6 linked regions of the Oryctolagus cuniculus genome follow. The protein of the gene in region 5 binds, or shares a complex with, the protein of the main gene of each other region. Links are inferred from orthologs where the notes say so. Each region holds a gene or a part of one and is shown on either strand. Other genes may lie near its edges.

Region 1 (4,247 bases), on a different chromosome or scaffold from region 5:
TGAAAAAACCAGGTCTCAGCAGTTCAAGTGTAGATGTTTACTGTTCCTCTAAATTTTGCTTAAGTTAGGAGTTGCTCACAGACTGTAATGAGCTACATAAATCTATATTTTATGTGAATTGGAGGTAAAGTTGGAAGAAGTGGCCATTTACAGGTATAAGAGTAAAGAAGACAGTTCACAAAAAAAGAACAGACTCCTATCACTGGGGCATTCAACTCCAAAAAACTGAATTAATACATGATTCAGTAAGGGATTCTTCTCACATAATTCATTATTTTAAAAACACTGGCAAAATGGAATTTCATACCTATTATCATACGATTCTTGTTCTTTAAGATACTGTTGCATCAATTCTTCTTGTTTCTTCTTGTCATATGATATTTTCTGTTCTGCCATCCATACCTAAATTAGTAAAGTAAAAAAAATAAATAGTTGTATTTAAATACTTAATCTAAGTACTTAAGGAAGTTTTATATTACAGTAAGTATAAAATGCTATCATTTATAGTTTACAACATAATCCAATTTAGTCATAATGACATCATCACAAGATAATACTTGAAAAATCTGATTTGTATCTTGATAGCATTAAAAATAGCTGAACTGTCAGGCAAAAATGTCAAACTTGAGATCCACTCTGAACTCAGTCCCTAGGTTATTTCAGAGAACAGAACAAGAATCTCTCTAAAAGAATTTGTCTCATCTAGATAACTCTTCAGCATAGGGCACATGTAGGGTTAAACAAGAGCCTTGAATGCCACTCCCTTTGTTATATATCTTTTCAAAGAAGTTCTAGGGGCCCATGCTGTGGTGTGGTGAGTAAAGTATCACATACAGGCACTGGTTCAAGTCCCAGCTACTCCACTTCTGATCCATCTCCCTGCTAATGTGCCTGGGAAAGCAACAGAAGAGGGCCCAACTACTTGCACCCACGTGCGAGACTCAGAAGAAGCTCTTGACTCCTGGCTTCAGCTCAGCCTGGCTCTGGCCATTTCAGCCATTTGGGGAGTGAACCAGCGGATGGAAGATCTCTCTTTCTGTAACTCTTTCAAATAAATAAATAAGTATGTTCTAATGCATATATAAGTAAGAGAATATACACAACATTCTTTTTTAAATAAATGGGATTGTTTTACATATAAAAATTAAATATAACTCAGTATAGTTGAGTTTATTTTCTTTTTAAATTTATTTGAAAGTCAAAGTTACAGAGAGAGAGAGAGATCTTCCATCCACTGGTTCACTCCCCAGATGGCCACAACAGCAAGGCTGAAGCTAGGAGTTTCTTCCCTGTGGGTGAGGGGCCCAAGTATTCAGGCCATTTTGACACTGTTTTCCGCAGACCATTAGCAGGGAACTGGATCTGAAGTAGAGCAACCTGTGCTCACCTAGTATGCTGGCATTGCAGGCGGCAGTTTTACTGGCTAAGCCAAAAACATGGGCCCCTATATTTGAGTTGTGTTTGGTTTTTTTTTTTTTTAACTTTTTTTTTTTTTTTTGATAGGCAGAGTTAGACAGTGAGAGAGAGACAGAGAGAAAGGTCTTCCTTTTTCTGTTGGTTCACCCCCCAAGTGGCCGTCAGTGCTAGAAGCCAGGAGCCAGGTGCTTCCTCCTTGTCTCCCATTCGGGTGTAGGGCCCAAGGACCTGGGCCATCTTCCACTGTACTCCAGGGCCACAGCAGAGAACTGGCCTGGAAGAAGAGTAACCGGGACAGAATCTGGCGCCCCGACCTGGACTAGAACCCGTTGTGCCAGCGCCGCAGGCGGAGGATTAGCCTAGTGAGCCATGGCGCCGGCCAACGTGGTTTCAAAAACAACGAAAAGCTAGTTCATTTCACAAGTTTGTATGTACAGGCAATCAACATTTTGTTGAGCTGGACACAGGGTTAAGTGCCCTCTTTGTTTCAAATCCTTTTACCTGCACAACCTCACTAATTCTCACAGCAATTTCACAAGTCACGGAAATCGATACTGGTTTTCCTTAATTTACAGATTAGGAAACTGAGGATTAGATATTAAGTATTTTGAGAAAGGTGCAAAGTCTCAGGGCTAACAGGAGCTGTGCTGGAGTAACTGGAATCTGAGTCTAACTCAGACTCTACTTCCCCACTATTTTTGCACTGCCATAGTATCCGACCCCGCATCCAGCAGACTTGAAATTAATTACTTAAAACGCTAAATTCAATCGAGGTCATCAAAAAGACACTACATTATTGGATGAGATGTAGAGTGGAAACAAGTTAATTTCTCTTAAGATCTCTCTTAAACAGGGAATTTTAGAGGAAACCAGAGTTGAGGAGTCGTGAACTCTGGGACCAGAAAAGACAAAAGCTGAGGGAAACACTAAGAAATTCTAATATCGATCTCCACATTTTATGACTTTACTTTCTGACAGAGGCGACAGAGCCCACTAGGTTCCCCGGTTCTCCGCGGATGAGAAATAAATATTAAGGATCGCTTCGTCAGTGAGATACTCCGCGGAGAAGGGACGACAGCACACGGGTTCAGGCCTGGAGATGATCCAGGAACGGCGATCTTCCCGGGGATCACACGGACACCGTCACTAAACCGCACCTCAAGCAACCCCCGGGGACCCAGAAGCGATGAGCCAGATCCCTCCGCGGGTCGCTTTACTCACTTTTTTAATATTGGATTTGGAGGCAGGATGAAAGTCCTTTTTGCACATAAAGTTGGCGAAGGATTTCCCCATCTTGCAGTCGGAGCAGAAGGCGGCAGCCTCCAAACCCGAGAGCAGCGTAAACAAACTCAGCCGCCTAACCGGAACTGCACCCCGGCCGCAGCAGCAACTTCCGAGGTCAAAGGTGGCAGCTTCCGGCAGCGAGCCGCTTTCCCTCGCCACTTTCCCCTGTCACTTCAGGTAGCTCGGAGGCCGGGGGAGGGGCGTGCACGGGGGAGCGGCGTGCAGAGTTGAGGTGGGAACGAGGAAGGGCGAACCGCGGCGCGACCTGCCGGGGCGAGGGGCCCACGGGCGAGGCTCCGAGCCCAGCTGCGCCAGGGGCGGATTGCATCCCGCCGGCTGCGGTTCCGGCGCGAGGTGCAGGGTGACTGCTTCTGCCAGCGCTGCTTGGAGTTTGATCCCGTTACTTTCTGGGAACTTGAGTTGCGGAAACTTTCCTGCGCCGGTTTTCTCCTGTGTTGTGCAGACGGCAGTTGTCGCCCTAACTGTGGAGAGTTTGTGAGGTTCTAACCCTGTCACGTTTCAGAAAGCGCTTGGTGGATTACACCTCTAAAATAAGACTGTCAGCTCCCCAGAAGCGGGGGTGGGGGGATGCTTTTGTTCCCAGTTGTTCCCAACTGTGCGGCGCCTGGTGCTGAAAAATGTTCAATAGACGTTTGTTGAACGATGAATACGGTTAGAAGGTAGTAAAGGTTGTTAAGGCTTCGCCTTCTCCGCGGAGTTCCGTGCCATTCTAAGTTTCCTTAGCTTCCCCGACGACCCCGGTTAGCGCAGGGACTAAAGGGCTTTGTGTGGACTGGGCTGCCACCGCTGTAGCTGCCTCACCACCCAAGGCCTCTAGTGGGAGGGACTTAAGAATAAGGCTTTTGTGAGAAATTTACTCCTCTGCCAAGTAATAACTGTGACAGCTTTAAGTGTCCGCCACGTTCCTTGACTGTGCAAAAACGCTTTTCATGTTGTCTTACTAAATTCTCGTAACAGCCCCATAAGAGAGTATCTTATTTTACCAATGAGGGAGGAAGCATAGAGAGAGGGATTAAAGGACCTACTAAGCTCATAGAGTGATGGGACTAACTTTGGACCACAATTAGAAGGAAACGCAGGACATAAAGGTTGAAATACACAAAGAAAAGCACAGAAACAAAGGAGAACTTCCATCACTGAGAAGAGAGTTTTAGTTGAAGTCGTTTCTTGAGTCATTATTTATTTAAAGATTTATTTTTTATTTATTTGAAAGGTAGAGTGACAGAGAGAAGAGACATCTTTCATCTGCTAGTTCACCCTGGAAATGGCCTCATGCCTGGGCTGGGCTGGGCCAAGCCACAGCCAGGAGCCAAGAGCTTCATCTGGGTCTCCCAGGAGGGTGCAGGGGCCCAAGTACTTGAGCCATCTTCCACTGCTTTCCTGGATCCGAAGCAGAGCAGCTAAGACTCAAACCAGCACTCAGATAGAGACGGGCCCCTGCCACCCACATGGGAGATCCTAACTGAGGTCTGCGATCTTGGCTTTGGCCTGGCCCTGCCCCAGCTGTTGTGGCCATTTGTGGAGTA
Region 2 (3,500 bases), on a different chromosome or scaffold from region 5:
GACAGGTGCGGTCAGCGTCGGGGAGATGCTGGGAGGGGACCCCCATGGCAGCAGGTGGTTCTGGCCTCCCTGCTTTGCTGATGTTGTTGTCCCACCTGGACAAGGCCTTCCTCCTTCCTCACCCCAACTCTGCTGGGGAATCTTCCCAGGGCCACCACCTCTAGGAAGTCTTCCCGGATCCCTTCTTGCTATCGGTGCAATTCTTTTTCTGAGCAAAGTCACAGACAAACCCCTGCCCAGCTCCGCACTCCCAGTGACAGCAGGGTGGCCACTGCCACATGGGTTGGTGCAGTTAGTCACCTAAGAGGCAGGATGTCAGCCCATGGCTGCAGACAAGGAGGAAGGGGCTCAGAGAGCAGCAGCTGCCTGCCCGAGGTTACACGGCTGACAACCAGTGCGCCCTCAGGTCTCCTGACGCCGGCCAGGGACAGCGCTGAGGCACACTGACCAGCTCTGGAGTCAGATCCGATTCAAATGCCAGCTCTCAGTGTGGTCCCTTCATCTCTCTTTGGCCTCAGTTTTGTCATCTGAAAAATGGAGCCGGCAAACCCTATCTCCCAGTGGTGCTAATGGGACAGGCTTGGGTGGGGGTTGGGGGTGCAGCCTACGCCCCTAAAGCCTGGGCGCGGCTGCTGGCGGCTTCACTGCCCTGCTCTCGGGAGCCCCGTGGCCCCCTGGGGCCCAGCACTCGCCTGGAGGACGGTCCCCACTCGGGGGTCGAGCACCCGAATCTTTCGGTCTTTGCAGGCGGTGGCCAGCAGGCTGCCGTTGGTGTTGAAGGACATGGAGAGGATGACGTCCTGGTGGCAAGTGATCGTCTGCACGGGGTTCCTGAGTACTGCCTCCTTCGTGTCCAGGTTCCAGACCATCACCTGCGCGGCACAGCGCGGGCCCCTGAGCACAGGGCCACCCCCGCCCCAGCACCCTGCCGTGAGACACAGTATTCCTGGGAGGGGAGCTGCAGCTGGCAGCCTGGCTGGGAAGCCTCAGGTCAGAGGGCGGATCTTCAGGCTGAGGCCAAGCATGGCGGGAGGGGGAAGCCGGGAGCAGGGCCATTTAGCCTCGAAAGCAAAACACCATCTGCCTTCCTGCAACGGAACATCACGCTGGGAAGACCCCAAGGGATCAGCTAATGCCAGGATTTCAAACAGTCACAAGCAGCAGGTCCCACCTGGCATGGACAAACAGGACTGCCTGGGGTGGTGACACAGACTGTACACTCGCGGCCGTGTGAAGAGCGCCCCCTGGAGGCGGGTGTGGAATAATGCACACAGCTTTGCCGGGGAGCCCCACAGACCCACCCTGCAGAACCAGGAGAAAGAGCACTTCTGGCCCCGAGGTCCAGCAACCCTCTCCTCATCACGGCTGCTTCTGCAAACTGCTGCGGGGTCAGAAGGGCAGAGTCTGAAATCCTATTTGTCTTCAGGTTGGGAAACCGAGGCCTGGAGGAGGCAAGGGACTTTTCGGGTCATCCCGCAAACCGGAGGCGGAGTGGGAGGAATGCAGCTCTCCTGTGCCAGGACTTCCCCCAGCCGTGGGGCCCACAGTCCCCCCGGCAGCCAGCAGGGCAGAGGGCAGATGCCCTGGCAGGCCTGGTCCATTCCCTTCTGGCAGGATGTGACGGCTTCAACAGCGTCTCCCCAAACCCAACCCCCCACCCCCCAACTCAGAATGCGAGATGTGAGCCCGGGTGGAAAGAGGCTCTTGCAGATGGCGTTAGCTCAGGTGCAGTCACAACGGGTTAGGAGAGGACCTGCGGGCGCACGGGGAGAGGCTGTGGGAGCACAGAGCTTGGAGTGACACTGCTAAGTGACAGAGTGAAGCGCACCTGGAGCCACCAGACCCCGGACAGGGCAGGAAGGTCCGCCCAGGGCTGGCGTCGTGGTGCAGCAGGCTAAGCCACCGCCTGCACCCTGATCCCACACGAGCATGGGTTCGAGTCCCGGCTGCTTCGTTTCCGACCTGGCTCTCTGCTAATGCTCCTGGGAAGGCAGTGGGAGATGGCCCAAGGCCTTGGGTCCCTGCCACCCAAAACTTGGGAGACCTGGATGGAGCGCCTGGCTCCTGGCTTTGGCCTGGCCAAGCTCTGGCCGTTGCAACCATCTGGGAGTGAGCTAGCAGATGGAAGATTCTCTCTCTAAGTCTGCTTTCAAATAAATGAATAAATACTTAAAAAAAAAAAAAAGGAATATTCTCTCTGGAGCCTGTAGGGGGCGCCGATCTCCCCCAAGAGCTCAGCTCCAGGTAGGGTTTCTGTCTCTAGAATGGTGACAGCTGTAAAGGCAGCCCTGGAGAGGGCCACGCAGGCTGCTCACCTTGTAGTCGTAGCCGGAGCTGAAGAGGATGTTGGCGGCCGTGGGGTGCCACTCCACCAGGCCCACCCTGCGCGCGTGGCCCATCAGCTCCTTCCTGTAGGCCGTGAGGTTCTTGGACAGCAGCTGTTTGGGGATGGCCCAGATCTTGATCTGGCAGGGGAGACACGGCCCACGGGAGGGTCAGTCGGGGCCGCCTCCCTGCCTTCTCCACCCCAAGCCACGGACCCGGCAGTGCTCGGCAGAGGCAGTGGGCAAAGTCTCCAAATCCATCTCTCCACGGGTCAAGGACAGCTGGGCGCCCCGGAGGAACGGGCTTCGCCACAGTCCTCCAGCTGAGCAGAGACGAGCCCACACCCCCCAACCCGCCCCTGGGGATGCTTGGCCACCTGGACGGTTGGACATGTTGGGCAGGTGGATGGGCGCAGGAGTGTCCCCACGCTGGATGCCACAGCGAAGCTGCCTTCCAGCTCAGCCCAGCCCTCCGGGGCCAGGGCTCCGCCCCCACCTCGCACTCAAGGCCCAGGGCGGAAGCTCAGGGTCAGGACGAGCAAGGCAGCACCAGGCTGGCCCTCAGGGCACCTGGGAGCCAGCGCAGGCTCTGGAGCAGCACGGGACAGGGCCATCTTCCTGCTCCGCAGGGCGCCCTGGATGGCCCGGAAGAGGACAGGCTGGAAGCCAGGGGGCCGGGCCAGGGACGGACGGCAGGGGGCGCTAGCGGAGCGAGCGCCCTGCCACGGAGGCAGACATGGACGAGGCAGCGGGCGCTGGAGCCAGGGGCGGTGCCCGCGGGCCTTCCGGGCTGTCCTGCCGGGTCCTCCGGCCCGGCTCCGCTTCTCTGAGACACAGGCTTCTCGGCTGGACGGCTTTGTTCTCGGCTCAGCAAATATTGACTTCCTGGTCGTTTTGGGTTTCATACCAGGAAGGCAGGCCCCGAGCTGCAAACAGATGGGTCTGCCGAGGGCGGTTACTGGCCAGGCCTGTTTGGGGAGGTGCAGGTGCCTGCTCAACCCGAAAGCACCAGGAACCCCAGGGCTAGAAGCTCGTCCCTGCCCTCAGGCCCTGGGAGCAGGGGTGGGGGGACCTGAGCACTTTACAGGAAAGAACTGATACCCCACCCCCTCCCCCATAACCCTGCCCCTGAGGCTTCTGGGAAGGAACCGAGGTGATGGGGAGAAGGTGCCAGAA
Region 3 (3,944 bases), on a different chromosome or scaffold from region 5:
TTCAGAAGCCCAGGAATTGATAAAAGCAGAAAACAAAAGTTCTAAAAATGAAAAAAAGTCTTATTTGACAAAACTTGTACTCAGTGAGACACAGGGTTTGTTCTCTCTCTGTTTTCCCTTTAGTTTCTTTTTGGAAAAGTAGTACATTCTCTATTCTTTGGAGGACATTAAAATTTTCTTCTTTTGTTTTATAATGTGGTTTGTTTTAATTTTTGCTATTACTCTTAAAGTTAAAAAAAAAAGGCCCACTTCCTAAAAGTTTGGCTGTTTGTGATTTGATTTCTTTTTAAACATCCTTACAAAATAAATATAGCTGGTTTGTTTGAATAAATTATATTATTTCTTCAGGGGGAAATTATATCATCATTATGCAGAGTCAGACTCAGCATTTCCCACTTTAAGAAACATACAATCTAAAAGGGGACATACTTGGAATATTTACATATAGGGAGAAGAGTATCAGCCAAATTCTACAGTGCTTGGAGTCCTGTTCTCATACCTGCTGTCACCTGGCTTCATCTGTACTGTTAAGATAAATTACTTATCTCCTTAAATGTACAAATGCAAATTTCATTCAAGTAGTTCTGACATATTTTGGTGGAGATTTTCCACTAAGAAACCATTTGCTTTTTGATTGATAAAGCCTCTGGGTACTTTTCTGAAAAATTTAACTTGGAAGTAACCTAACTCAGGACTGTTTTCACTGTTTCTTCTTCCATGCATGCTGAACTAACATCTAACACTTGTGGAGTATTTATTATGTTCCAAACACTAAATTATTACAACCCTAAAATCCTTCATACTAATTTTATCTTTTTTTTAATAGTGAAGAAGTAAAACTCAGAGAGGTTAAGCAACTCGCTCAAGTTCACACTGTTGTTAAATACCAAATAAGCACATCAATTTCAGACAGTCTGATTCCTGGATGAAACTGCAGTTAGCAAAAGAATCACAAAGACACCTCTCAACTGCTGAAACTTTAACTTGCTCCTCAATGCCTGAAATACTTTTACATTTCTCATTTTCTGACACATACAGCATGTCTAGTCCTCAGCACAGTACTGGATACATAAATCTAACCTTTAATAAACATTAGAGACAAAGGCTTCCACAGCAATAATTATAAACCTTTTCCTTTCCCCTTAAACCATGCATTTTTCCACTCCATACTCACTCTTACTAGAAATTTGATCTCACCCCAATATCATTTTTCATGATCAAACAAGATCGAGACCACTCTGCAAGTCCTTTCTCAAGGTAGCCTCATCTACAGCCTAGCAGGTCACTTTTCCTACATTCATCGCCTTGTCTGAGGGGAAGATTTTCCTTCTCTCCAATTTAAACCCTTGATTTCAACCTTCCCAATTCCCCACAAAACATTACCACTTACGTGTTCTGTTAAATCAAGCCTATTTCTTCAATAAGCAATGGTTGCATGTTTGCAAAGTGCTAGGCACTGGGAATTCTATAATCAATAAAAGGGCTCTCAAATGATAATGGCACAACCAAGTAAATGCTATAAATCTGGTAGATGTGAGGCTCTTGACCGCGTTTGCTAACAACCCCGAAGAGGGAAGAGGGTAGCACGAAACCATGGCAATGTATAATGAATGAAAATGTAAGGGAATAAAAGGACGTATAAAAGGGTCGCCATGGGTGGACTGGATAACGGGGTGAAAACGGATACAAGGCAAGTATGAGCGAACACAAACGGCCACAAGAGGAATGAATGATAAATCGGACTCCAAAGGGAGGTGGGTTCGTAAAAGGAAAAGTGGGGGAGGGGGGTCACTCACTTCTGCCGCAGGCTTTCCTCCCTCTCCTTGTCCAGGAGGCTAGGCCACGGCTTGTCGCTCCCATAGGGGCGCGAGTAGCCGCCATAATAGGTGGACGAGGAGACAGAAGCGAAAGGTGTGCTCCGAGGCGCAGAGGGCCGCTCTCGAGAACGTGACCGCGAGCGGGAGCGGTAGGACTGGTTTCTTGAGCTGTGACTGAGGCCACCTACATGGTGACTGAGGCCATTCCGTTCCCCGGATCGAGAGCAAGAGTGCGAGCGAGAGCGGCGGCCCCGCGGGGACCGAGCAGATTTGCTGGGCTTGGGGCTCTTCGACGAACTGCGACGTTTTCCCCCGGAGCCCGAAGTTTCCGGGCTCCGTGAGCCGGATACCCGAGCCATTGCTGCTGCAGGATCCCAGAAGTCGCTGAAGAAGGGGGCGCTCTCACCAGTCTAGGAAGATCCCGGTTGCCTTGGCTTTCAGATCCCGCCACCTTACAACCACCCAAACCTGAGGGGAACCTTGGGAATCGTTTCGAGTACGTCGGTAAACCCCTTCCCCGGACGTAGGCGGTTCTGCAGACTTGAACGGACGTGTGTATCGGTATAAACAAGCCGGTAGGGCAACTGGGTCTACGCTCTCCTCTAGTTCCGAGTGGCTTCTCAAAGCTAAACTAACGGGGAGAGGAGATAAAGTCCTTTCTCAGCTTCGAACTTTGTGGTACCTGAAGAGAAGGATGGCGGAATATAAGATACATTTCACAGAGTGGTCGTATGAACAACACATCCAATTCTGTATGTGTTTCGTGTGCCTTCTGTGTATAATTATGCATTTATGTATGATTGAGAATATATATTGCATATAATTTGGTTTTTTTTCCTAATCCCAAGAAAAATTAGGAAAGTTTATCGCGATTGGGGTGAGCTATGATATCTAAGCTCCGTATTGCCCAGGTAGCATAGAAGGCACAAAGTCTGTGTTAACGTCTTGAGCCTGATACACTCCAAATAAGTTTGCAGCCCAGAGAAAAATTGCATACTTTTCTTACAGTAACTATCTCCACCCGTGTGCTTCAGCAAAAGGAATATGTAACCCTCTCTTTATCCAGCCCCTTAAACTAGTCATCTGCTAGCCTAGCAATATGTGGTTTATGATCAGTATTTCTGTTCATTTTCTACTGTTTTTAAATTTGGGAGGTAGAGACAGAAAGAGAGACAGAGTTCCTATCCACCAATTCACTCCTCAAATGCATGCAACAGCCAGGATTGGGCCAAGCTGAAACCAGGAACCAATACAGGTGTCACACGTGGGTGGCAGGGACCCAATTACTTGAGACATCACCTGTTGCCTCAAGGGTCTGCATTGGCTGGAAGCTGGAATTAGGAGCTGAAGTCAGGAATTCTGGCATTCTGATATGGGATGCTGGCTGCTGCTGCTGCTTTTAAAATATTTATTTACTTATTTGAAAGGTAGAGCAAGAGTGAGAGCGAATGTGAGAGAGATATGGAGGTCTTCTATCTGCTGGTTCACTTCTCAAATGGCCCCAGCCAGTCCTTTGGCAGCTTTTCCAGGCACATTTGCAGGGAGCTGGATTGAAAGAGGCACTGCGATATGGGATGCTGCTGTTGCAACCGGCAGCATAATTTGCTGTACCACACCAGCAGCCCAGGGTATGGGCTCCTTCCTTCCTTCCTCCCACCCTTCCTCTCTTTATTTCTTTTCCTGTTTCTTCTTCTGCTTTAAAGATTTATTTTTTTTTTCAAGGGCAGAGTGACAGAGAGAGAGAGAGAGAGAGAGAGAGAGAGAGAGAGAGAAGGAAGGGAGGGAGGAAGTAAGGAAAGGAAGGAAAGAAGGCAGGAAAAGGAAAGGAAAGGAAGGGAAGGGAAGGAAGGGAAAGAGAGAGAGAAAGAGAGAGAGAGAGAAAGAAAGAAAGAAAGAAAAAGAGAGAAAGAGAGAAAGAGAGAAAGAGAGAAAGAGAGAAAGAGAGAAAGAGAGAGAGAGAGAGAGAGAGAGAGAAAGAAAGAAAGAAAGAAAGAAAGAAAGAAAGAAAGAAAGAAAGAAAGAATCTTCCATATGCTGGTTCACTTCCCAGATGACTGCAGTGGCTGAGGCCTGTCCAGGCTGAAGGAGCCCAGAATTCCATCTGGGTCTTCCAAGTGGGTCACAGGG
Region 4 (4,260 bases), on a different chromosome or scaffold from region 5:
TGTCATCACTTGGACTTGCTGTGGACCTGCCAGCCTCCCCCTCCCCCCAGGCAGCCGTGGAATGCCCCACAGCTGGGTGGGGGCAACACAAACAGCAGCAGCAGGGCCATGGCAGGTAGAGTTTATTGGCCTGGGACACACAAGGGGGACCCTCACCCGTGGTGGGGTTGAAGAGACTCTCTGGTGGTCACTTGTGGTAGAAGCGTGGGTTCTGGCTGTGTTGGATGAAGGGGAGCCGAGGGCCGGGCTGGCTGGTAGCTGTAAAGCCTGACTGGTGGAGTGACAGGAGGGGTCTGTCAGTGGCCCCTTCTCCCTCCCACTCAGACCCTGACAAGCATCCCAGGGCAGAGCAGGGCGGGGGTCGTGGCCACTTGTCCTGACCTTTCCCTGCTGATCACCACCCTTACCTTTCCTGCTGGCTGCATCTGGACTGGGAGCTGGGGGGAGGCAAGGAGTCCAGGAGCTGGATGCAGAGCCTGGGGGTGCATGGGGCGCAGGGAAGACTGCAGAGAACAGAGTCAGGACCTGAGGTGTGCAGGGCTAACCTTGCACAGTCCTAACGCCACACCCCCTGCCCCAAGGGCTCCTCACAGTCCTGACCCACACCCCAGGACCCAGTACTCACAGAGTCTGAGAAGCCAGTCTGCTGGTTAGCATGTTCCATCTGCTTTTGCAAGGACAGGGCACCAGCAGGCTGTAGAAACCCTAAGTGGGGGACAGGGGCGTGTGAAATGACGTGAGAGTGAGGACGGGAGGGGCTGGAGCTAGGGCTCCCAGTGGGTGTCCTGGTCACCTGACTGGGTGGGCTGGAAGTGGCCATGCACGGCATAGGGCTGTGGCTGAGGCTGAGAGAGGTACTGCACTGCAGGAAACGCTGACGGTGCTGAGAAAGGCAAGAGGCACCGGCATCAGAACTCCAGCATTCCTTCCCGGTTCCCAGGAGGGGCCCCCTAGCACTCACCTCGGAGCTGCTGGCTGGGACTATAGGCTGGCTGGGTGGGCCCGTAGTGAGGCGGGGGCTGGGCAGTCCCGTAGGCACCGCCAGGACTGCCTTGGAATTGCCCGTGCTCTGGTGTCCCTGCAAAAGCTGCTGCGGAGCCCACGTAGTGCCGGGTCTAGGGAGGGGGGACGAGAGCTCCATGGAAACTGGAACACAAACTCCGGACTCGCGAGCTCTGCAGACGCGAGGTGTGCTTGGGATGCTTCTCACATCAAGTACGCCAGGGTGGGTGTAGCAGGGCAATGGGCCTGGGCCCACTCGCCCTGCTTTTCTCACCGTAAGCACTTGGGGTCCAAACATCTGTTTGGCTCTGTCAGCTGCCATGAGGGTGCCTGGGCGGCTGTGTCCTCCGGGGCTCCCTAGGAAGGAAGAGCAGCTTTGTGACGCTGGAGTGGGGGGCTGCCCTGCCCGGCAGGTGGGCCCCTCAGCCCTCACCCTGCATGCTGAGCAGGTGAGTTCCCGTGTGCACCGTCAGGCTCTGCTGGTAGGCAGCCGAGGTCAGCGTGGTCAGGTCGCTGGAGGGAAAGGAAAGCAGGTCAGAGCCAAGCACAGGAGCCCCTCGCCATCGAGCACCAGTGCCCTGTCCCCGCCCCGGTGCAGCCGGCCCCGTTCCCACTCTCGGCTCCCCGATCCCACCTCTGCTCCTTTCGCCTCCGTTTTTCTTCCTCGTGCAAAACCTTCTTGAGCTGCAGGAAGAGCTGGTGCTTCTCCTCCTGCAAGGCCAGAAGCTTCTCCTGCAGCTTCAGGATCTGGGGGGGAAGGAGAGGATGGAGGCGCGGCTGCCGCGGGAGGAGCCGGGCAGGGAGGTGGCGGTGCGTACTTGCTCCTTGGTCTCCTCCAGGGACATCCTCTCTTCCATTTCCTTCTTCTTCCTCCTCTCCTGCTCCTCCCTCATCTTCTGTTCCATCATCTTGTCCACCTCCTCTTCCTCTGCAGAAGGGGGGGGGGGGAGCCCAACGTTAGCCACGCCAGTTACCCCGAGGCTCCTGCACGCTCCCTCCACCGCCACGGGACAGCCAGAGGGCGGCTTGATCAGGTGCTCTCCAAGGTCCTTCCCTGGAGCTTGGGAGCAGGTCTCTAACTCCCCGCACGACGTGGGGGTGTTCCTTCCCTCCTCTAACTCGGCCTCGCGCGCAGGGGTCGGCCCGTGGGCGGGGGCCGACCCTGGGCCAGCGCAGACACCCCGGGCGTGCGTCCTCCCACTGCGGCCCGGCTCACCCTGGCGCTTGCGCTCCCGCTCCATCATGATGTGCCGGTGGAGCGCCCTGGCCATGGCGTTGGAAAGCTTGGGGCGCTCCAGGAGCGCGGGCATGGTGCCGGTGGGGACGCTCGGGCCGTGGGCGCCCGGCTATGTCAGTGACTGCCAGACTTCGGGATGAGGCCTGCGGGGAGGCGGGAGCTCAGTGGGGGCCGTGGCCAGCCGCGGCGGAAGCCCGTCCGCCCGGCCCGCTCGCCGTCCGGGTCACGTGCGGCGGGAGCCCCTCGCTCGGTCTGGCCACAGACCCCGCTCCGCGGCGCGCCCCGGCGGCACCAAGGTCCCGGCTGGACGCTCCGGCCGCTCTCCTCCGCGGCCCGGGCCGCCCGCCCCTCCCTACCCGCCTTCTCGGCGCTCTCTCCGCGGCCCCGGCGCACCTCGGCCCCCGCTACGTCACATCCGGCGGCCGGGCCGAGTGCTTCCGGAGTCACGGCGGAGGCCGGCCTCGCGGGTTGGCCGAGGGAGAGGCGGAAGTGCACTGGGACGGGTGCCCGCGACGCCCAAACCTCGGCGCGGGGCGGCGGGGACAGAGAGGCTGAAGCGGATGCTAGGAGAGGGCGTTTATTGGCTCTTTAGAAATCAGTCAGTAACAACTGTACAGAGGGCCCCGTCGTCCTCGTGCCCGCCCGGCCCACGCCCGCCCGCCGGCCCCCGGAAAAGCAGCTTCATGTGGACACAGGGGGACTCCTGGGATTCACAGTAACCAGAAACAAAAACGGAAATAAATTAAGTGATATGGGGGAGGGGAGTAGTAGGGAGTCGTGTTCCCCAAATCAGTGCATGAAGAGGGGTCCCCTGGGCCCGGAGCTGGGCTCCCCGCAAGCTCCCCGCCATCAGAGGGAGTGTTCTGGGCCCCTGGACACGGAGGTGTGCTCCACTTCCCATCTGAATCTGAGAGCCTGTCTACACTGCAGTTCCTGCGCATCTGCCAACACTGAGCACCTGTGCATGCCATGAGTCACTGGAATGAGGTGGAGGCAGGCGTCACTCGGAGTCCGCGGGCCGAGACCCAGCTGTGCTTGTAGTAGTGGGGTCTCGCCCCTCATTCCACCCGTACCAGCAGGGCATAGAGGAGTATGGCCCCCTTCTCCTTAGTGACCCACTCAAGTTCGGCCGCGCCGAAGTGGGGGTCCGGAGGTTCTCTGTGTGCAGCGGAAGGGGGGCCCGGGGTGTAGGAGCCAGGGCGCACACACACCTGGAACGCCACCTGAGCCCGGTGTGTCCGCTGAGACTTGGGGTCCCGGAATCTGTCGGGCAAGAAGCAGAAACGGGAGTGAGGCCTCCGCCCCAGCCACACTTAGGGTTTGCTCCAAGGAAAAGGCCTTAGCTCCAGCTGTTCTGTCTACCCCAAAGGCTCTGCCTCCCACAGCCTGTCCGGCCACAACCCTCACTTCCCCTTCCTGTGACGCCTACCCTGCCCGCCCGATTTGAGAGGCAGAGACAGCGAGACAGACAGACAGAGCTCCCATGTGCTGGTCAGTCCTCAAATGCCCACAACAGCCAGGGCTGGGCCAGGACTGAAGCCAGGAGCTTAGGTCAATCCAGGTCTGCCCCAGGGGTGGCAGGAGCCCAGTCACTGGAGCCATCACTGCTGCCTCCCACGGTCTGCATCGGCAGGAGGCTGGGGCCAGGAGCGAGCCTGGAACTGACCCCAGGCACCGTGAGCCCCGAGATGACCCCTTGTAATGTGGCTGCTGCATCAGCATTTCCCATCCGCCTCACCCCACTCTCCTTCCTCTGTTTCCACAGTATTGACTCAGCACCTTTAAAAATACCAAAGGCTGGCCAGTGCCGCAGCTCACTAGGCTAATCCTCCGCCTGTGGCACTGGCACCCCAGGTTCTAGTCCCGGCCAGGGCGCCGGATTCTATCCCGGTTGCCCCTTTTCCAGGCCAGCTCTCTGCTGTGGCCCGGGAGTGCAGTGGAGGATGGCCCAGGTGCTTGGGCCCTGCACCCCATGGGAGACCAGGAGAAGCACCTGGCTCCTGGCTTCGGATCGGCATAGC
Region 5 (4,096 bases):
AATCCTGTCACCTCCACTGACCAGCCGTGTGACTCAGGTTAAGCTTCCGAATCTTCTCAAATTTCCATTTACTTATGTACAAAGCAGAGAAAAGACATCTCAGCGTTGACGTAAGAATTAGGAGACTGCACAGCAACCCTCAGGTTAATACTTAGCAGAATAAGCACTCAACAAATGCTAGCTATCATAAGAAACATCGGGCAAGAAATAAATTCAAGGAGAAGGCAAGCCATAGGTTGAAAATCTTTTTTTTTTTTAAGATTTATTTATTTATTTGAAAGTCAGAGTTACACAGAGAGAGGAAAGGCAGAGAGAGAGAGAGAGGTCTTCCATCAAAATAAATTCACGGAGAAGAGGGGGAAGCCATAGATTGAAAGTCTTAAGAGACACGTCAACCAAATATAATGCTGACTTGATTTAGATCGTGATTTAAAAAAAAATTTACTGCAAAAAAAAAAAAAAAAAGAGGGACTGGCATTGTGGTGCAGCAGGTTACCCCATCACCTATCTATGATGCACGGCATCTCATAGGAGCACCAGTTCAAGTCCCGGCTGCTCTACTTCCAATCCAGCTCCCTGCTGATGCACCTCGGAAGGCAGTGGTAGATGGCCCACATACTGGGCATCGACATGAGAGACCCAAATGTAGTTCTAGACTCCTGGCTTTAGCCTGCCCCAGCTCCAGCTGTTGCAGTCATTTAGAGAATGAACCCGCAGATCTCTCATACTCTCCCACACTCGCTCGCTCTCTCTCTGCCTTTCAAATAAATAAAATAAATCTTAAAAAAAAAAAATGAGATGAATGAGGAAATCTGAATACTGTTTGCATAACTGATATTTAGGAATTATTAATATTAATATTACAATATTGTTGGTGTTCACAGCACACGCCCTGGCCTAGAGCAAATGATCACTAAATATTTACTGAATAAACAAGTGAACAGTGACTCAATGACAAGTAGCCCCCCCTCCTATCTTCCCACTGCTGCCAAGACCTCACCGAAGGGCCTGGTACCAACGAACCTGATGACATCCAAAGTCCAGCCTTCACTCACCAGTCATCGCCCACGTTGAAGGCATTAAGGCTCTTGGTGAAGCCTTGCATATTGGTGGGGCTGACTCTCTGAAGGAAGTCGATGTAGTCCTCAGAGTGGAAGCGGCACATGTCATGCTGGGAGGCCTGGTACGGCTTGAAGACCTCGGGATGGAGACACAAGACAAATTCAGGCAGGGCCAGGCTCACTCACGGAGCTGAGACCAGCCCTCACCGAACCCAGTCCTGGAGACTGTCCCAACCCACACAGCAATGCCCCCACTCCGCCATCCTTGTTATTCTATGAGAAAAGGTCAGTGAAGAAAAAAGCTCCAACTAGCCAGGTGGGTTATGCTGATCAAGATCCCAAAGGTTGCTTCCTCTCCCTCTCCCTCCCACTTCCAGTCCAACGGCTCCTTCCTTCTTAATCTCGAGCGCTGATCTCCCTGCCCTGTTCCCTAGATCTCCTATTCCTGGTTCCCTCCATACTCATCTCCCTCCCCTGCCTGATTCTAGTCTCTCTCATCTGGTTTCTGGAGTCAAATATACAGTCTGTATGACAACCTGCTAACTAAAATGGAAGGTGCTAAATCAAACATGTACCTATCATCTTAGGGGTTGGAGTTCACACACCTCTTTGAAAACTGGGCAAGGAAAAAGATATGCACAGGTGCATCCAAGCACACAATCTCCAGGGACCCCCAGGCTCCTGCACTAACATCGCCCCCGTCTTGTCTATGACCCATCCACTTGTCTGTGCCTCAGCACTAGCAATGGACATTCATCCATGCTGCTGACGAAGTCCCCTCACAAGCAAGGGTTGGGCTTAAGTGTTTACTATCCCATATTATTCACAGCGATCAATTCCATGCTGGGGACCCACAGCCTGGGAGACAGAAGATTGGGCAGTTATTGAGCAGAAGCATGTAGAGGTATTCTGGGTTGTAAAGGGAACTCCCAGGACATCTGCTCTCTTCCACACCCACACATTCATACTCAGCGTGGTGCAGAGTTCTCTCTGGAGCTCTAGCTCCTCGGAGGCAGAGACATGGAAGAGCAGCGATAGGCACTGTGGGGTAAACCTCACACTCAGAAACAGTGATCCAGCGCCCCCCCATACCCAATGCCACAGCTCTGTCCACAGCCTATAATGCAGGGGGAGGAAAAAGCCTGCCTTTAAGCCAGGCCCGCACCACCCTAATCCTAGGACAAGGGTTGGTCTGCTGCAGGGCAAAGGGCGGCAGACCTGAGGTGGAAAAGTTACTCCCATTAAATCAGGGGAAGCCTCCTCGACACCCTGCATGTAAAGGGGTGCCTCTGGGGTCTTCCATTCGGCCACCCACTACTCTAGGAGCGGCTTGCCCCTGGTGCAGTCAGCCCAGCCCACCTAGCCCTAAAGCCGCAGCTGGCCCTCGCCCCCAATCCCCGGAGGCTGCGAGACTCACGATCATCTTCTTATAGAGGCCGTAGTGCAGGACCAAGCTATGGGTCAATGCCAGGCGATGAGGCTTCATAGGGTGCCCAGCCCCTGGGGGTGCGGGAGAACGGAGTCTGTCAGTTCCCACCCCTGGAGATGCAGCCCCCAACTCGAAACCTCTGCGTCCCCACCCCTCGCTCATAACCCTTTTTCCTCACCGTAGTGGAAGTTGCCCACGTCGGGGTCGTAGAAATAGGCCACGGTCTTGGCCATGGTGCCGGCCGGAGCAGGCCCCGCGCCTCCGCCGCCAGCCCCACCCCCGCCGTGCGTGCTGCGCAAGCACGCAGCCTGCCCCTGCGGAACGGGGGCGGGCCCGCTCCGCCCCGCCCCGCCCCGCCCGCCCAGGCCACGCCCCTTGCGGGAGTTGGGCCACTCGCCTGGCTGTGTCCTATTAGGTTCTGGGGCTTTAGCATCCTGGCTTGGGCGGGGGACGGGTAGCATCCGTCCTAGGATGCCAGGAACATTGCCTTGCGGGCGGAGGCCAGATCCTCGGGAAGCCAGGCCATTCCGTCCCGCCACTTGTCCCAAACCCAGGGCAGGCAGTAGTCACCGCTCTAGGAAGCGCTGAAGATCCGGGCACGCCGCCCCTCTCAGGGGCAGAAAGCCAGCTTCCCCCAGCTCCCTGGGAAGATCCCGGCCATCCTCTCAGCCAGGGCATCTGAGGGCAGGAGCTGCGCCAGGCGTGCGGGATAGACCAAGAGAAGAGCACCCCCGCCGAACCTCCTGTCCCCTACCTGGACCCAGACTCGGCGCCGCACATTCCCCCCGGGGGGGGCCCAGCGCAGTCACGCGCGCATCCCACTTGCGCTCACACGCGCGCCGAGCTCACGCTCTGAGCCCCGCACACCTGCGCTCCGCCCCTTGATCCCGGGCCGGCAACGGGCGACGGCATTTGGGAACCCAGGGCGGCTGCGGGGGGCTCCCCCATCGCCTCGCTTCCCCAGGGCCGGAGTTGTCCAGAGCCTGCCGCCGCGGCCAAGCAGCCCGCAGCCCGCGCCATCCTTCCCTCCCCCCGCCTGCCGCGGCCCCGGTATCCGCAGCCACAGCCGGGAGCCGGTGAGGCGGCGAAGGGGGGAGGGGGAGGAACCAAGGGATGAGCGCCGGGAGGGCGTCGGGGGCCTTGAGCCGGACTAGAACGCCCCTGGAGCCGGAACCCGAGCCGGAGTCGGAACCAGAACCAAACCACCGGTACCGGGTGGGCCAGGTGGCCAGGGTGGGAGGAACCGAGAAGGGAAGGGAGGGGTCCGGGAGTACAGGGAGGGGAGGGGGCTGCAGAGGCCTGGCTCAGGCCGGCGCGGAGGGAGGTGCGGACGCTGACTCAGGCGCGATCAGAGCGCCCGCCGCCTGGAGAATGCTGTCCCGTCTGGCGCTGCAGTGTCCTTGGCAGGGACGGGAGCGCGGGACGAGCTGGGAAGGGGAACGGTCTGGGACCAGGGTCGTGGAAGAGGGCTTGCCCAGCCGCCGTCGGGCCTCCTGCCACGGGCGGTCTTGGCAGACCAGCACCGCTGGCCGGGACAGCTCCCTGGTTGGGTAGCCGGGTGGTGGGACCGGAGGGTCCACTGGGGCATGCCTGTTTCGGATCCTGA
Region 6 (4,023 bases), on a different chromosome or scaffold from region 5:
TATGCTGCATTGCTATATACGAACTGATGTATTTATTCAACAGGTTGACATTCAGAAGAGCCGTTAATTACATCTCCTTTTATCAGGAACCCCTATGTTTACGTTCGGCATCTGCCTTTGTGCAAAGCTTGAAAAGCTCGCAGTGCACAGGAAGCAGTTACTTCTTACTGTTGCTGGACGGATAGCATGGTAATCACCCAAAAAGCTTAATTAGGTGTTGAGAACACAAGTATCAAAGAGATTCCTGGACCTATGTAAAAAATTATTAACATGTTTTTAACACTTCCATGATGCAACCGATGCAAAAATACCATCTCCACAAGGGGCCACTCCATTTACCATCAGCGTCTCCCATGTTAATAACCAAAGCTGACATCTGTTAAAAGAAAATGTCTTACAAACTGCCGGTGAGCTTGGCAACAATTTTTAAGACACTAACACGCCACTTGAGTCCATTCTCACAAGAAGAAAAACTTTTTCCATGCACACATTGTTTTCATCCCCCATAGAGTGTACTACTTTCTCCTACACAGGACTGATTCTAACTACTTCAAACGGGGGGGGGGGGGGGGGGGATTGGCACTTACTTGTAACTCTAATGATTGCAATTACATACATCACAGTACAGGACAGCAAAACTCAAAACAAAAAATTGAGACTCCAAACAAGCAGGAAAAACTCCATTTATGAGCAAAAAGTATAAACACACATCACATGCCTAATGGCTCTCAAGCCTATTTTCTTTCTGCTGCCCCTCCCCCATAGGTAAGTGCTAACTATTTCTAGAACTCTCAATGACAATTTGGGAAGCTTGCCATCAACTCCCATGATACAATCCAACATTCACGATGTTTTCATGGAGACAAAGCTGCCCTACTTCTCCAGACTATAAACTTATTAAAACGGTGAGAGAACACGCAGTCCCAGAAAGCCAAGATTACTAAAATACACCAATGTAACATGGGTCTCATTTAACAAAAAATGAAAAATGAATCACATTGCGAAACCCCCCCCCCCAAAAAGTCACTCACTGTCTTCACCGTGTAACCAGGATATTTACTTCAAGTTGTTTTAGGCTAAGAGGCTAAAAACACCACGAGGCCCTTATGGTCTCCAAACTGGAGGAGGGCTCTTCAGGAAAAAAAAAAAAAAAAAAGGAGGAAGATGATTACTTAATGATGGAGGGGGAGGGGAAGGAGCCTCCAGTCTAAAAACCTAGAACTAAAAATAACCCACCATATTTTATTAACAAGATGTTTAGATGAGCATAAGGTTCTTGTTTGGAAAACAAGAAAGCCAACAGTAGTAAACTTCCCTAACTCGACTGCAAATCGCATAGGTACTAAAACTCTTAACCTCTGGGTCCTGCACAGTCCAAGCAAGATCTCAAGCAAACTCCAGCCGCCGAGAAAATCCGATTTTTAACTAGGCTGCAACACTTCTCTCTCAGATTCACCCATTATTTTTACAAATTGTCGGATAACCTAACAAAGAGCATTTTTTTTAAAAGCCACGACGACCCAAGTTTTCCATGAAACACACCATTTTCACAGGCTGAACTGAATCCCGGTCGCCACTGCAAGGCGATGCCCGCTTCAGCAAATTAGGAACTTCCAAAAAAACGCCGAACACGTTAACACACGCATGGCTTCCCTCGGGCTGCCACCGTGAAGATTAATATTTCACTTCAAGAAAAAGTCTTGTTTTCTGTTCAAAAAAAAAAAAAAAAAAAAACGACCTCGCCTGCAAAGAGGAAGTTCCCGAGAAACCACCCTCTCACAACGTGGCCTCTCCACTGTCAGAAAACACTGGCACTCGGTGCCACCCGAAACTTACCAGGAAGCTGGCAACAACTTTGCCAATTCTACACTTCTGAACCCAACTTCAAAGGGGCTCCACCAAACAGCTCCCGCCGCCGGTGGGAAGCACCAAGTGACCAACCACCGCGTCCCGGAGCGAGGCCCTGCGGCCGCCCGCCCCTCCCCCAGCCGCCGGCGCCCCCGCCCCGGACGCGCGGCCCCAACGACCGTCCGCAGCCCCCCGCACGCCGGCCGGGGGCTCGGGCCGCGCCCGCCCGGGGGAGCCGCTTCCCATGGCTGCCTGGGCTTCCACACAAAAATCGCGTGCATCGAGAGGAGCCGTCTCCTCGGCTAAAAATAGGCTATAAAGGAGTCGGCCTCATGATGGCTCCTTGATTCAATTTGCTGCAAATTCTTTCCTCAAAGCCTCCCCCCACCCGGCGCGCGCACACACACACACATATACACACACATACACATATACACATACACACAAAAAGGGGGTGTCGGTGCACGGAGGGGGAAGGGGCCAGCAGGCCCGGGTGCCCATTTTCGGGGCCAACGACAACATAATTAGGGTGAGGATCCCCCCCGAGACCCAGGGAGGGTGGGGGGGGTGGGCAGGCACGTGAGCATTTCAAAGGCGCCAGGGAGAGCCAAGGCGGGGGGATGGGGCACCCTAAATGCCCTCCCTCCCCTCCCCCACCCGAGCCCCAGCTCCCCCAAGGGCCCAGTGGAAAAACGCATGTTCCCCCTAGCGCCCATCCCCCCGCGGCCCGGCGCCCCCCGGCCGCCTCCGGCCCGCGGCCCCCCGCCCGGCCCGCGGCCGCCCCCACTCAGGGGTCCGGCCCCCGGCGCTTACCTGGAAACGGTGGCCTCCAACGCCGCTCCCCCCCTCCCGGGAATGGAGGCACAAGGAAACTCCCCTCGTCGCCGCCGCCGCCGCCGCCACCGCCTCCAACCACCCCCAAAATAACCCCTCCGGGGGGTGAGAGGCAATTATAACCCCGGCGAGCGCGGGGCGCGGGGGATGGGCGCCGGCGGGCGGGGGCGGGGAGCGCGGCGCGGGTCCCCAGGTGGCGAGCGGAGGTGCTCCCGCCGCGGGGGGAGGGGCGGGGGCGCACGCGGCCGGCGGCGGGGGGAGGCGGCGCGCGGGGGAAGGGCGCGAGCGGGGAGAGGAATTGAGGCAGAAGGTAAAAGCTGTTACTAAGGGAAAGAGCCAAACGGTTCGGAGCAGCCAACGGCTCAGACACTCAACACTGGGGAGAGAGGAATGGGGACCAGCCAGGCACAAATGAGCTCGCGAGGCCCGCGGCGGCGGCGGCGGCGGCGGCGGCCGCGCAGCAAAACAAACCCGAGCGGCCTGCGCCGGGCGGGCGCGCGGGGGAGGGGCCGGGGGGAGGGGCGCGGGGAAGCGGCGGGGGGGGGGGCGTCCGCGGGCCGCGCTCCTCTCCCTCCCGGCTCTCGGCGGCGGCGGCGCTGGGGGCTGGGCGAGTGCGGCGCATTCTTTTAAAAAAGAAAGCCGGCCCCGCGGGCGCTCCGAGGCGCCTCCGGGCGCGGGCGGCCCCGCCCCGCCCCCACCGCCGCGCTCGGCTGAGGGCCGCTGGGTGTAGGCCGCGCGGCCGGGCCGGGGCCGGGGCCGGGACCCGGGCCCGGGCCGGCCGAGTTTCCTGGGCGGCCGGCGCGGCGCACACGCTGCGGGCATGTGCGGGAGCGCGGCGCAGGCCTCGTGTGGACATTTGCTGAGGAAGGGCTAGCGCTAGTGCACACCTTTGTGTGCGTCAGTGCATATGTTACTGGGAAGCGTACCTGCACAGGGGCTCTAAGCTGTAAGAAGCGGTTTTCCGAGTGGAATCCGGAGCACGGGCTCTGCAGAGCGAACAGTCGCACACCGGGAGGGGTTTCTGATACTAAACACAGGGCTGTGATTGCAGTGTTTGTGCCCAAATGGACTGTGCGTCAAGCATATGGTGGTATTTATCGTCTGGTGGGCCTGTGGCAGAGGTTGGGTCCATCAGTTCGCATCTCACGAGAATAAAATCACGCTGCCCGGTGTGGACTAAATACGTGCCTCTACCGCAGCCTGCACGGTGGAAGTTCAGGCCCTGCGCGCACTCGGTGCGTGTGTGCTGTGGCGCATCAGAGGCGGCGATCGAACTGGAACTGAGGTGGCTGATACCGCGATAATAGGATGGAGGCAGGGAGTGCGGCGGGCTCTTTTTGA

The links.
Region 1: HDAC3 (region 5) and CIR1 share a complex: the UniProt entries of both Homo sapiens proteins name them as parts of the notch corepressor complex. The link is inferred for Oryctolagus cuniculus from reciprocal best matches to the Homo sapiens genes HDAC3 and CIRSR.
Region 2: HDAC3 (region 5) and CORO2A share a complex: the UniProt entries of both Homo sapiens proteins name them as parts of the N-Cor repressor complex. The link is inferred for Oryctolagus cuniculus from reciprocal best matches to the Homo sapiens genes HDAC3 and CORO2A.
Region 3: HDAC3 (region 5) and NKAP share a complex: the UniProt entries of both Homo sapiens proteins name them as parts of the notch corepressor complex. The link is inferred for Oryctolagus cuniculus from reciprocal best matches to the Homo sapiens genes HDAC3 and NKAP.
Region 4: HDAC3 (region 5) and GPS2 share a complex: the UniProt entries of both Homo sapiens proteins name them as parts of the N-Cor repressor complex. The link is inferred for Oryctolagus cuniculus from reciprocal best matches to the Homo sapiens genes HDAC3 and GPS2.
Region 6: HDAC3 (region 5) and TBL1XR1 share a complex: the UniProt entries of both Homo sapiens proteins name them as parts of the N-Cor repressor complex. The link is inferred for Oryctolagus cuniculus from reciprocal best matches to the Homo sapiens genes HDAC3 and TBL1XR1.

The regions. Positions count from the first base shown.
Region 1 is NC_091434.1:66,779,331-66,783,577, reverse strand, and holds the start of CIR1 (corepressor interacting with RBPJ 1), read right to left. Parts: upstream 2,801-4,247; 5' UTR 2,710-2,800; coding exon 2,638-2,709; intron 403-2,637; coding exon 308-402; intron 1-307. UniProt on the Homo sapiens protein: May modulate splice site selection during alternative splicing of pre-mRNAs. Regulates transcription and acts as corepressor for RBPJ. Recruits RBPJ to the Sin3-histone deacetylase complex (HDAC). Required for RBPJ-mediated repression of transcription.
Region 2 is NC_091432.1:201,885,333-201,888,832, forward strand, and holds part of CORO2A (coronin-2A), read right to left. Parts: intron 2,466-3,500; coding exon 2,316-2,465; intron 873-2,315; coding exon 693-872; intron 1-692.
Region 3 is NC_091453.1:73,167,905-73,171,848, reverse strand, and holds the start of NKAP (NF-kappa-B-activating protein), read right to left. Parts: upstream 2,801-3,944; 5' UTR 2,177-2,800; coding exon 1,797-2,176; intron 1-1,796. UniProt on the Homo sapiens protein: Acts as a transcriptional repressor. Plays a role as a transcriptional corepressor of the Notch-mediated signaling required for T-cell development. Also involved in the TNF and IL-1 induced NF-kappa-B activation.
Region 4 is NC_091448.1:51,915,539-51,919,798, forward strand, and holds the start of GPS2 (G protein pathway suppressor 2), read right to left. Parts: upstream 2,801-4,260; intron 2,748-2,800; exon of another isoform or gene 2,504-2,747; intron 2,383-2,503; 5' UTR 2,313-2,382; coding exon 2,219-2,312; intron 1,931-2,218; coding exon 1,821-1,930; intron 1,750-1,820; coding exon 1,637-1,749; intron 1,516-1,636; coding exon 1,436-1,515; intron 1,360-1,435; coding exon 1,277-1,359; intron 1,116-1,276; coding exon 962-1,115; intron 884-961; coding exon 794-883; intron 706-793; coding exon 626-705; intron 526-625; coding exon of another isoform or gene 504-525; coding exon 408-503; intron 272-407; coding exon of another isoform or gene 268-271; coding exon 1-267. Other genes in the region: NEURL4 (neuralized-like protein 4), read right to left, coding at 3,298-3,502. UniProt on the Homo sapiens protein: Key regulator of inflammation, lipid metabolism and mitochondrion homeostasis that acts by inhibiting the activity of the ubiquitin-conjugating enzyme UBE2N/Ubc13, thereby inhibiting 'Lys-63'-linked ubiquitination.
Region 5 is NC_091437.1:29,206,481-29,210,576, forward strand, and holds the start of HDAC3 (histone deacetylase 3), read right to left. Parts: upstream 2,801-4,096; 5' UTR 2,724-2,800; coding exon 2,669-2,723; intron 2,562-2,668; coding exon 2,479-2,561; intron 1,199-2,478; coding exon 1,056-1,198; intron 1-1,055. UniProt on the Homo sapiens protein: Histone deacetylase that catalyzes the deacetylation of lysine residues on the N-terminal part of the core histones (H2A, H2B, H3 and H4), and some other non-histone substrates.
Region 6 is NC_091435.1:102,718,003-102,722,025, reverse strand, and holds the start of TBL1XR1 (F-box-like/WD repeat-containing protein TBL1XR1), read right to left. Parts: upstream 2,801-4,023; 5' UTR 2,662-2,800; intron 2,367-2,661; exon of another isoform or gene 1,837-2,366; intron 1,698-1,836; exon of another isoform or gene 1,543-1,697; intron 1-1,542. UniProt on the Homo sapiens protein: F-box-like protein involved in the recruitment of the ubiquitin/19S proteasome complex to nuclear receptor-regulated transcription units. Plays an essential role in transcription activation mediated by nuclear receptors.